Linked DNA regions of Mus musculus. The protein of the gene in region 2 purifies or fractionates together with the protein of the main gene of each other region. This does not show direct contact. Links are inferred from orthologs where the notes say so. Each region holds a gene or a part of one and is shown on either strand. Other genes may lie near its edges.

Region 1 (3,816 bases), on a different chromosome or scaffold from region 2:
TATAAACATTCCTATATATTTATAAGTATATTTACATACATATAGTATAACAGAAATGTTATATGGCCACACTTTCACGTGGTCACCAATTTTCAACTTCTGCCTTTTGTACAGCAGCATATAGCACATCATCATAATAGTTTATTCATAGCTTTGCTCCTTTGTTCATTCATTCATTCATTCATTCATTCATTCATTCATCTAAACATAAAGTGCCTGCCCTGGATATATGCTCTAGCAGTGGCTGGGGATACAATTATGAGTAAAACAGTCTCACTCTTTCTCCAAGGCTCTTAAGCTCTTGTGGGACATACAGGAAATAATCAGATGCACTAAGATCTTGGAAGGAGGAAATGGGAGAGTATATGACTCTATGGATATGGAGGAATATGGTATCCAAACCAGTCTAGAGCTGGAGTGCTAGCTTCCAGACAGAAGGGGCACTGAGTCAGGGACCACAGAGAGATGACAAGGAAGGAGAGGACCTCCTCATGCAAAGGGAACAGCATGAGCGATGGCTTGGGGGACATGGATGCAGTTCAGCTGGTGGAGCACTGGCCTCACACACACAAAGGCAGGGTCTGGTCAGCACCATCATATAGACCAGGTGAAGGGGCTCAGATACATACTTGAAAGGTAAAGGCAAGAGAATCAGAAGTTCAAGGTCATGCTGTCAGCCTCACAGTGAGTTCAAGTCCAGCCCCAGCCCCATGAGACTGCTTCAAAACAAAAAAAACCACCCTTGTCCAAACCAAAGAGCAACACTTTCTGCATGGGTATGGGACATGCACTGTGCAGTGAGCTGACATGGAGGCAAGCAGACCAGAGGGAGAATGATTCCAGGGCTAGTGAAAAGACAGCAGTGGTGGGACCTGTGGTGGGAACGGAAAGGGACAAACACAGTGGGAGACAGTCAAAGCCAGGACATTCATTAGAATGAGGGCAGGAGAAATGATGCCTCCTAACTGTTAATACATAACCAATTTCGGGATTGCCAGGGCTCAATACAGACTGTGGTGGTTTGAATACGCTTGGCCCATGGGAAGTGGTACTACTAGGCAGTGTGGACTCGGAGGAAGTGTGTCGCTGTATAGGTGGGCTTTGAGGGTGTCTAGTGCTCAAGCTCCACTCAATGTGGAAGGAGTCCCCTCCTGGCTGCCTTTGGATCAAGATGTGGAACTCTCAGCTCCTCCAGCATCATGTCTACTTGGATGCTGCCATGCTTCCTGTCATGATGATAACAGACTAAACCTCTGAAATGGTAAGCCAGCCCCAATGAAATGGTTGCCTTTATAAGAGTTTCCATGGTAATTGTGTCTTTTCACAGCAATGGGAACCCTAAGACACAGACTCTTCTCCAAACAAGGATGCTAAAGGTCAGCTGAGATCGGAGGGACAAATATATTCTTCTCTTTAAGAGGAAAACTCTGTTGTCTGGTCTGAGTCGGTATTATTATTTGTGGTAGTTTAAATATGCTTGGCCCAGGGAGTGGCATTATTAGGAGGTGTGGCCTTGGTAGAGGAGGTGTGGCCTTGGTGGAGGAGGTGTGGCCTTGGTGGAGGAGGTGTGTCACTGTGGGGCTAGGCTTTGAGACCCTCCTCCTAGCTGCCTGAGGACAAGTCTGCTCCTGACTTCCCTTGGATGAAGATGTAGAATTCTCAGCTCCTCTAGTGCCATGCCTGCCTGGATGCTGCTGTGCTTCCTGCCTTGATAATGGACTGAAACACTGAAGCTGTAAGCCAGCCCCAATTAAATGTCATCCTTTAGAAGAGTTGCCTTGGTCACAGCTATAAAACCCAAACTAAGACATTTTATTGCTGTTGTTGTTCTTATTGTTATTATGGTTCAGAGTCATTACTATTGTTGTTGTTGTTCAGGGTCTATGTTTTCCTGGCCTGGAACTTGTTATATAGACCAGGCTAGCTTCAAACTCCCAGGGGCTATCATGCAAGAATTCACAAGAACTGTACCACGATACCCAGTAGGGCTGGTGTTCTTAGGAATGCTCTACAGCACTGATCTTACCCAAGTCCATGGTGTGTACATCTGAGAAACTTTGGTTTGGATTTGCTCCCCCGACAATGAAGATCTTCCCGCTCTCGGCATCACCAACTGGGGGGAAATATGAGCAGCTGTGGCCAACTCGAGGGCAGGGCCTGTCTCCAGGGCAAGTCAAAGTGTACCTGCCAAAGGGAAGGCATGCTCAGGAGGCCGTGCGAGAATGTTCTTCCATTCCTCACAAAGGATGAAAGGCCTGGCACACATACTCACGCTTTAGGATATAATTACTATCATATGTGAGCAAGTGCCTGTGTTCAAGTGTGGGCTTCAGTGCTTTCTAGATGGGAGGCATTAGGGTAGTCACCTCACCTATTCGAACCTCAGTTTTCTCTACTCTAAAGCCAGGGTTACTATAGTTCTCACCTTCAAAGGGGGGTGTGATGACTCAGACAGAGCCTGGGAGGGTGCGGGGATAGATAGGGCACTATCGAATTCACAGGGACACCCTGGCCAACAGCCAACGATGTCTCCCTCCAGAATACACGGATTAAGCCTCATAATTGTAAAAAATCCACTAAAAGACTTCCCAGGCTTGGATCCTCCATCAAATCTAGGAACTTACGTCTAGGATTCAGACTACAGTACAGGGCCAGAACATTCACCGCTACATTTATTTTGATGGTTAGTGGGGGGGGGGGGGGGGAAGTATTCCAAACTTTCTGATTGGAAAGAAACAAAAAATTAGTTTCTGACAGTGTCTCTTACAGTCTAGGGTGGCCTTAGATTTCCAGGTAGCCCAGGATGACCTTAAATCCCTGATAGTCCTGCCCCTATCTCCCAAGTGTGGGGCTATAGGTGTGGGCCAGGGCACACAGTGAACATGGATATATCCTGACTCCAGCTCCTGTCTTGCTTGACCTCTCTGATGTTGGTGCTCCTGAACGTCCCACTTTCCTTCACCTTTTCCAGAACCTAGATTCTCCGCACCTCTTCCTCCGGGTGTGTACTTCCCTCTGACAGCTGTTTCCTTTCCTCTCTGACGTGTCTCCCACCAGCCCCCTCAGAACTGTCAGTATCCTAGGAATCCCTTTCCCTCTGCCTTTTTGCTTTTCTGATTCATCTGTCCTGGTGGTTTCTATGGACACCCATCTCCATCCCTATCAGTGATTACAGGATCTCTCATTCTTGTCCGGATCTGTCCTGCATGTGGATTTGTGTTCATGAATACCCCTTCTTTGTTTTCACAGTCAAAGAAAAGTTTTAACATAAAAGTTCTTTCTGTCTTTATTGTTTTCTGGAGAGCATCTTACTCCATCATCCAGGCTAGCCTTGGATTCTCAGCAATCCACCTGAATACTTGATAGTCCGTCTCAAAACAAAACAAAGCTAATCTTGGTGGCCATGCCTGTGATCCCAGCACTTGGGAGGCTAGGAAACGAGGATTGCTCAAAATTCGGAGCCAACCTGGGCTACATGAGAATCTGTCTCAACAACAAATCAAACAGCAAAATAAATAAATAAAGACATCTGAAGTTGGATGGACAGGTACATACAGGATATGCAGGGCCTCGTTTAAGGTTCCTGCTTTGTCGTATTGTTCAGGGAGAGGGATGGAACTATTCATACTAAGCAGAGCTCTATAACCAAGCTACATTGCCAGTTCTCTATTGGGTTTTACCCCGGAGCATGTCTCCAGAGCACGTGTGATGGCTCTGGAGCAAGGTAATTGTGGGAAGTGGGCATGGAGGCTCAGTTGGAGTCAGTGGGACCTTGTCCACCCTTCTGGGATCCCCTCAGTGCAGGTCACACTCCAT
Region 2 (3,615 bases):
TATGAGGTCTATGTATGACTCCTGAGTGCTGACTCCTGGGATTAAATGTGTGCACCATCGCACCCAGCTCCTTAAGTGCAGTTTTCCTCTGTGGTCTTAAGGCCTCTGGGAGCTTTAGTTCAGAAACCTGTTCCTGAACCATGTGGGCCTAGCAGGAGCTAGAATTTAGACTAGGTTTTGCAAAGAGCAAGGGAAGGGAGGGGCTTGCAGGGGTCTAAAGTGTATCCCAACTCTGTTCACCAGGCAGGACTCTGACTCTCAAAGCCGACATTGTGTCAGGATAAAAACATATTACCAGAAGTGGGAAAGAACAATTTCCAAGTGTGCAGAGCTTCACCCCTGCATTTGTGAGTCGGAGGCTTTCAGGTTTCCTGATGGGATCAATCTGAACTGAAACGGGTAAGCAAGAGGAGATTAGGCATGGGTGTGTGGACAGAGGACAAGAGGGAAAATTTGTCCCCTCATCTGTCACATCCATCACCTTCAGCGTCTCAGTCTGCTTACATAGGGCAGGGCAGGGCATGGGGACAGATGTGGCCTGGAACAGAAGAGGAGCTGGGGAACATAGGATGAGGAGAGCTAATGACAGTCAACTGAAGCTCACTGATGCTTTATTTTCCAGACACTTGAACAAGACCTTGTGACCTACATCCTTAACCTACGGCCTGCCAATTTTTAAGACTGCTATTCCTCCAGCACTCCCTCACTCTCGGGCATGCCCAGCTAAGGGATGACCTGCTGCTTGCTTGAAAGCTGCTCCAGAAACTGGACTTCTCTTGGGAAGAGTAAAGAAGCCTCCAGAAAAGACTTGACCTTCCTTAAGAACTTCCCAAACTAGAGATGGGTCAGGGGAGGGCGCTCCGCTGAGTGGATGGATGGCCCGGAGCCAGCCAGGCAGTTTTATTGAAATATTTTTAAATACTTTGCACGTGTTAGTCCTGTGTGTCAGCAATGCTGTGTCTAGTTCGGTGATCCCAATGGGACAGTGAACCCAGGGGTCGGCTAGGAGGTGCTCTGTCCATTGAGACCATGCTGAGGCTCCCCTATACGGGGAGAAGAGCTAGTCAGCCCATCTGGGGCTGGCATTGTCCAGCAAGTGCACTGTCCTTACAGGGTATCCCGAAGGCCAAGGTTGGAAGCCTGAGCTCACAGGCCTCACTGCTAAGAGCGTGCCCCAGGCAGCTGCAGGCTGGGTGTGGGTGGCTTGGCATGATGCCCTCGGTGGCAGAGAAGACTGCCCGCCTCACAGTTCAAGTTGCGGTAGCGGGCAACAGCTGGGGTAGGGCGGGGGCACATGGATAGAAAGCCAAAGCTGAACGGGCCAAGGCAGCAGCCAGGGCAGGGCAGCCCCTCCTCCGGCTCCCGGGGAGCTGATGGGGGCGGTGAGGGCTCTGTCCGCTCCAGGGCTGCTGCCCGGGGAAGGCTATGCTGTGCCCGGTTCCAGGGCTCCCTAGCCCACCCTTGTGGGGAATTCACCACCACAGCAGGGGGATTATTGTTGAGGGGAGGTCCTGATCTAGGAGACCAGGGCTGCGAGGCTGAGGAACAAGTACTGATGAAGTTGTCAGTGGCCACAGCCAGAGGCAGCTGGGGAGCCAGGCCTGGGGGCTCTGGCTCAGGGCTGCTGCCCTCGCAGTCCATCCTCTCCTCAGTCGGGCCCATGGGGGAAGGGCCAGGACCTGGCAGTGCAGTCTCCATCCGTCGGGGAAGCTCAGGGGATGAAGGTAGTGAGCGACAGCGGCGGACAGGGGTCTCAGGCTGGACCAGGATGTCTGGAGTGGTCACTAAGGGCAGCTGGGTAGAGGTAAGTGGTGATGGTGGAACCAGGGGCAGTGGAGTGGCCGGCTTGCAGGGTGTGTCCAGCAGCTTGATCTTGCCACCCCTGAGGTCTTCCCGCAGTGAGAAGGGGTTGACTCGTGTTAGATTGTCCCCCCAGCTGGGGGGTGATTCTGGCGAAGGTGGCAGGAAGAGGTCTGACCGGCTTCGGGAGAGCCGGGGGTCTGGCCTGGGAAGTGTGGCAGAGGGACCTCCTCTTGGAACAGACCCTGTAGAAAGAGAGGTCTCATCACTGTTCCCAGCATCTGCTCCAAGCTGAGGCCCTGAATCTCCAGGCAGGTGGTGGGACAAGAGCTTAAGAAAGGAAGTCCTACAGGGGCTCTGGAAGGGACAGTTGTTATTTCCAGCTACCTTGTTTACTAAAAAAAAAAAAAAAGTATTCATGTGTCTGTATGAACACGTGTGTGAACTATGAACCACAGGACACTAAAGTTATCATGGAGGTCGGAGGTCAGAGGACATCTTTCAGGAGTCAGTTTTCTGCTTCCATGATGTAGAGCCTAGAAGTCCTTATACAAATGCCTGAACCCGTCGATCCATCTCACCAGCCCCTCCTTTCCGCTTTTCTACCTACTTTTTCTTTCCTCCTTCTGCTGCCTTGGGCTCTAGCAATGAAAACCATCTTCTGTGAGATGCCTCTCCATCCCACCTGACTTCCCACCTTTTTACCTCAGAGATCCAATTAGCCTCCTCCAGAGAACTGACTCTCAGGAGAGGCAGGACTTCTGCTGAGGTCAAGGTCATGCTCACTCACCCTGATTGTATGTCAAGGGAGCCTTGGTGAGGGGTGGCTTGGCGAGGGGCGTGGCCTCAGGCTGCTGCTCCAGGATCTGTTCCAGGTGCTGGGTGATTTCAGTAAAAGGGGCCCGGGTGCTGGGTTCCATCTGATGGATAAAGACAGGGCAGCTTCGCTCAGGGCTCATGAAGACAGTGAGTTTCCACCATTCTCTCCCCGGTTTTAGAAGACAACTCAGGGATGTGGTCAGGGAAGGGGTGACACTTACGCTGCAGCAGTGGATGGCCAGAAGCAGGAAAGGTAGCGGACAGTCATTTCCCACCAAAGTTCGGAAAGCAGGCACATCCAGGCCAAAGTCCTGTGGGGACAGAGGAGGGGCTGCCAGTTAGCCTTCAGTGGGCTCTCCATGTGCCCCACTGTGAGGCTCAAGCTCCACAAAGCCCTTCTTGGTTGAGGCACCCAGAGCAGAGGTTACCTCACCTCAGTGCGGGGTAGGTAGTCAGGGTCTGCAGGCACTCGGGCGATGAGCTCACAGAGGACGATCCCGAAGGCGAAGACATCGGCCTGGAGGTAGGTGGACCATGCCAAGGGGGAGGAGTCAGTGTTTATCTTATGTTGGAAGGGTGGCAGTGAGGGGTAAGGGAGAAGGCTGGGGGTTCCCAAATCTATATAGGAGGGTTGTTGAATGGGGCTCTATCTCAAGGTCTCTTACCTTCTCATCATACAGCTCTCCCCGCAACACCTCTGGAGCCATCCAGTACGGGGAGCCCACCACAGCCAAGGGCTCCTTCCTTGTCCCTTCCCTGCAGAGGCAGGGTGGTCACATCTCCAGTTCAGACATCTCCCCCAAACTAAAGGGGATGGGGCAAGCCTCCTCTCCATCCACAGAGAATACCCCTGGGGGGTTCACTCATGTATAGGGCACCCCTGGGAGGCTTGGGGTAAGAAGGGTGTTCACCTTACCTATACACAGGAATCTTCTCAGCCAGTCCGAAGTCACCCACAACAGCTGTGAAGCCTCGGTCTTCCCTTCGGACCAGACA

The links.
Region 1: the proteins of Tesk1 (region 2) and Rabepk purify together in Homo sapiens (affinity purification with mass spectrometry; 3 studies listed by BioGRID and IntAct, with this or other methods). This does not show direct contact. The link is inferred for Mus musculus from reciprocal best matches to the Homo sapiens genes TESK1 and RABEPK.

Annotation. Positions count from the first base shown.
Region 1 is NC_000068.7:34,793,146-34,796,961, forward strand, and holds part of Rabepk (rab9 effector protein with kelch motifs), read right to left. Parts: intron 2,185-3,816; coding exon 2,027-2,184; intron 1-2,026. UniProt on the Homo sapiens protein: Rab9 effector required for endosome to trans-Golgi network (TGN) transport.
Region 2 is NC_000070.6:43,445,044-43,448,658, reverse strand, and holds the end of Tesk1 (dual specificity testis-specific protein kinase 1), read right to left. Parts: coding exon 3,536-3,615; intron 3,376-3,535; coding exon 3,285-3,375; intron 3,137-3,284; coding exon 3,053-3,136; intron 2,931-3,052; coding exon 2,841-2,930; intron 2,721-2,840; coding exon 2,591-2,720; intron 2,046-2,590; coding exon 1,162-2,045; 3' UTR 584-1,161; downstream 1-583. Other genes in the region: B-cell differentiation antigen CD72, read left to right, coding at 244-394. UniProt on the Homo sapiens protein: Dual specificity protein kinase activity catalyzing autophosphorylation and phosphorylation of exogenous substrates on both serine/threonine and tyrosine residues.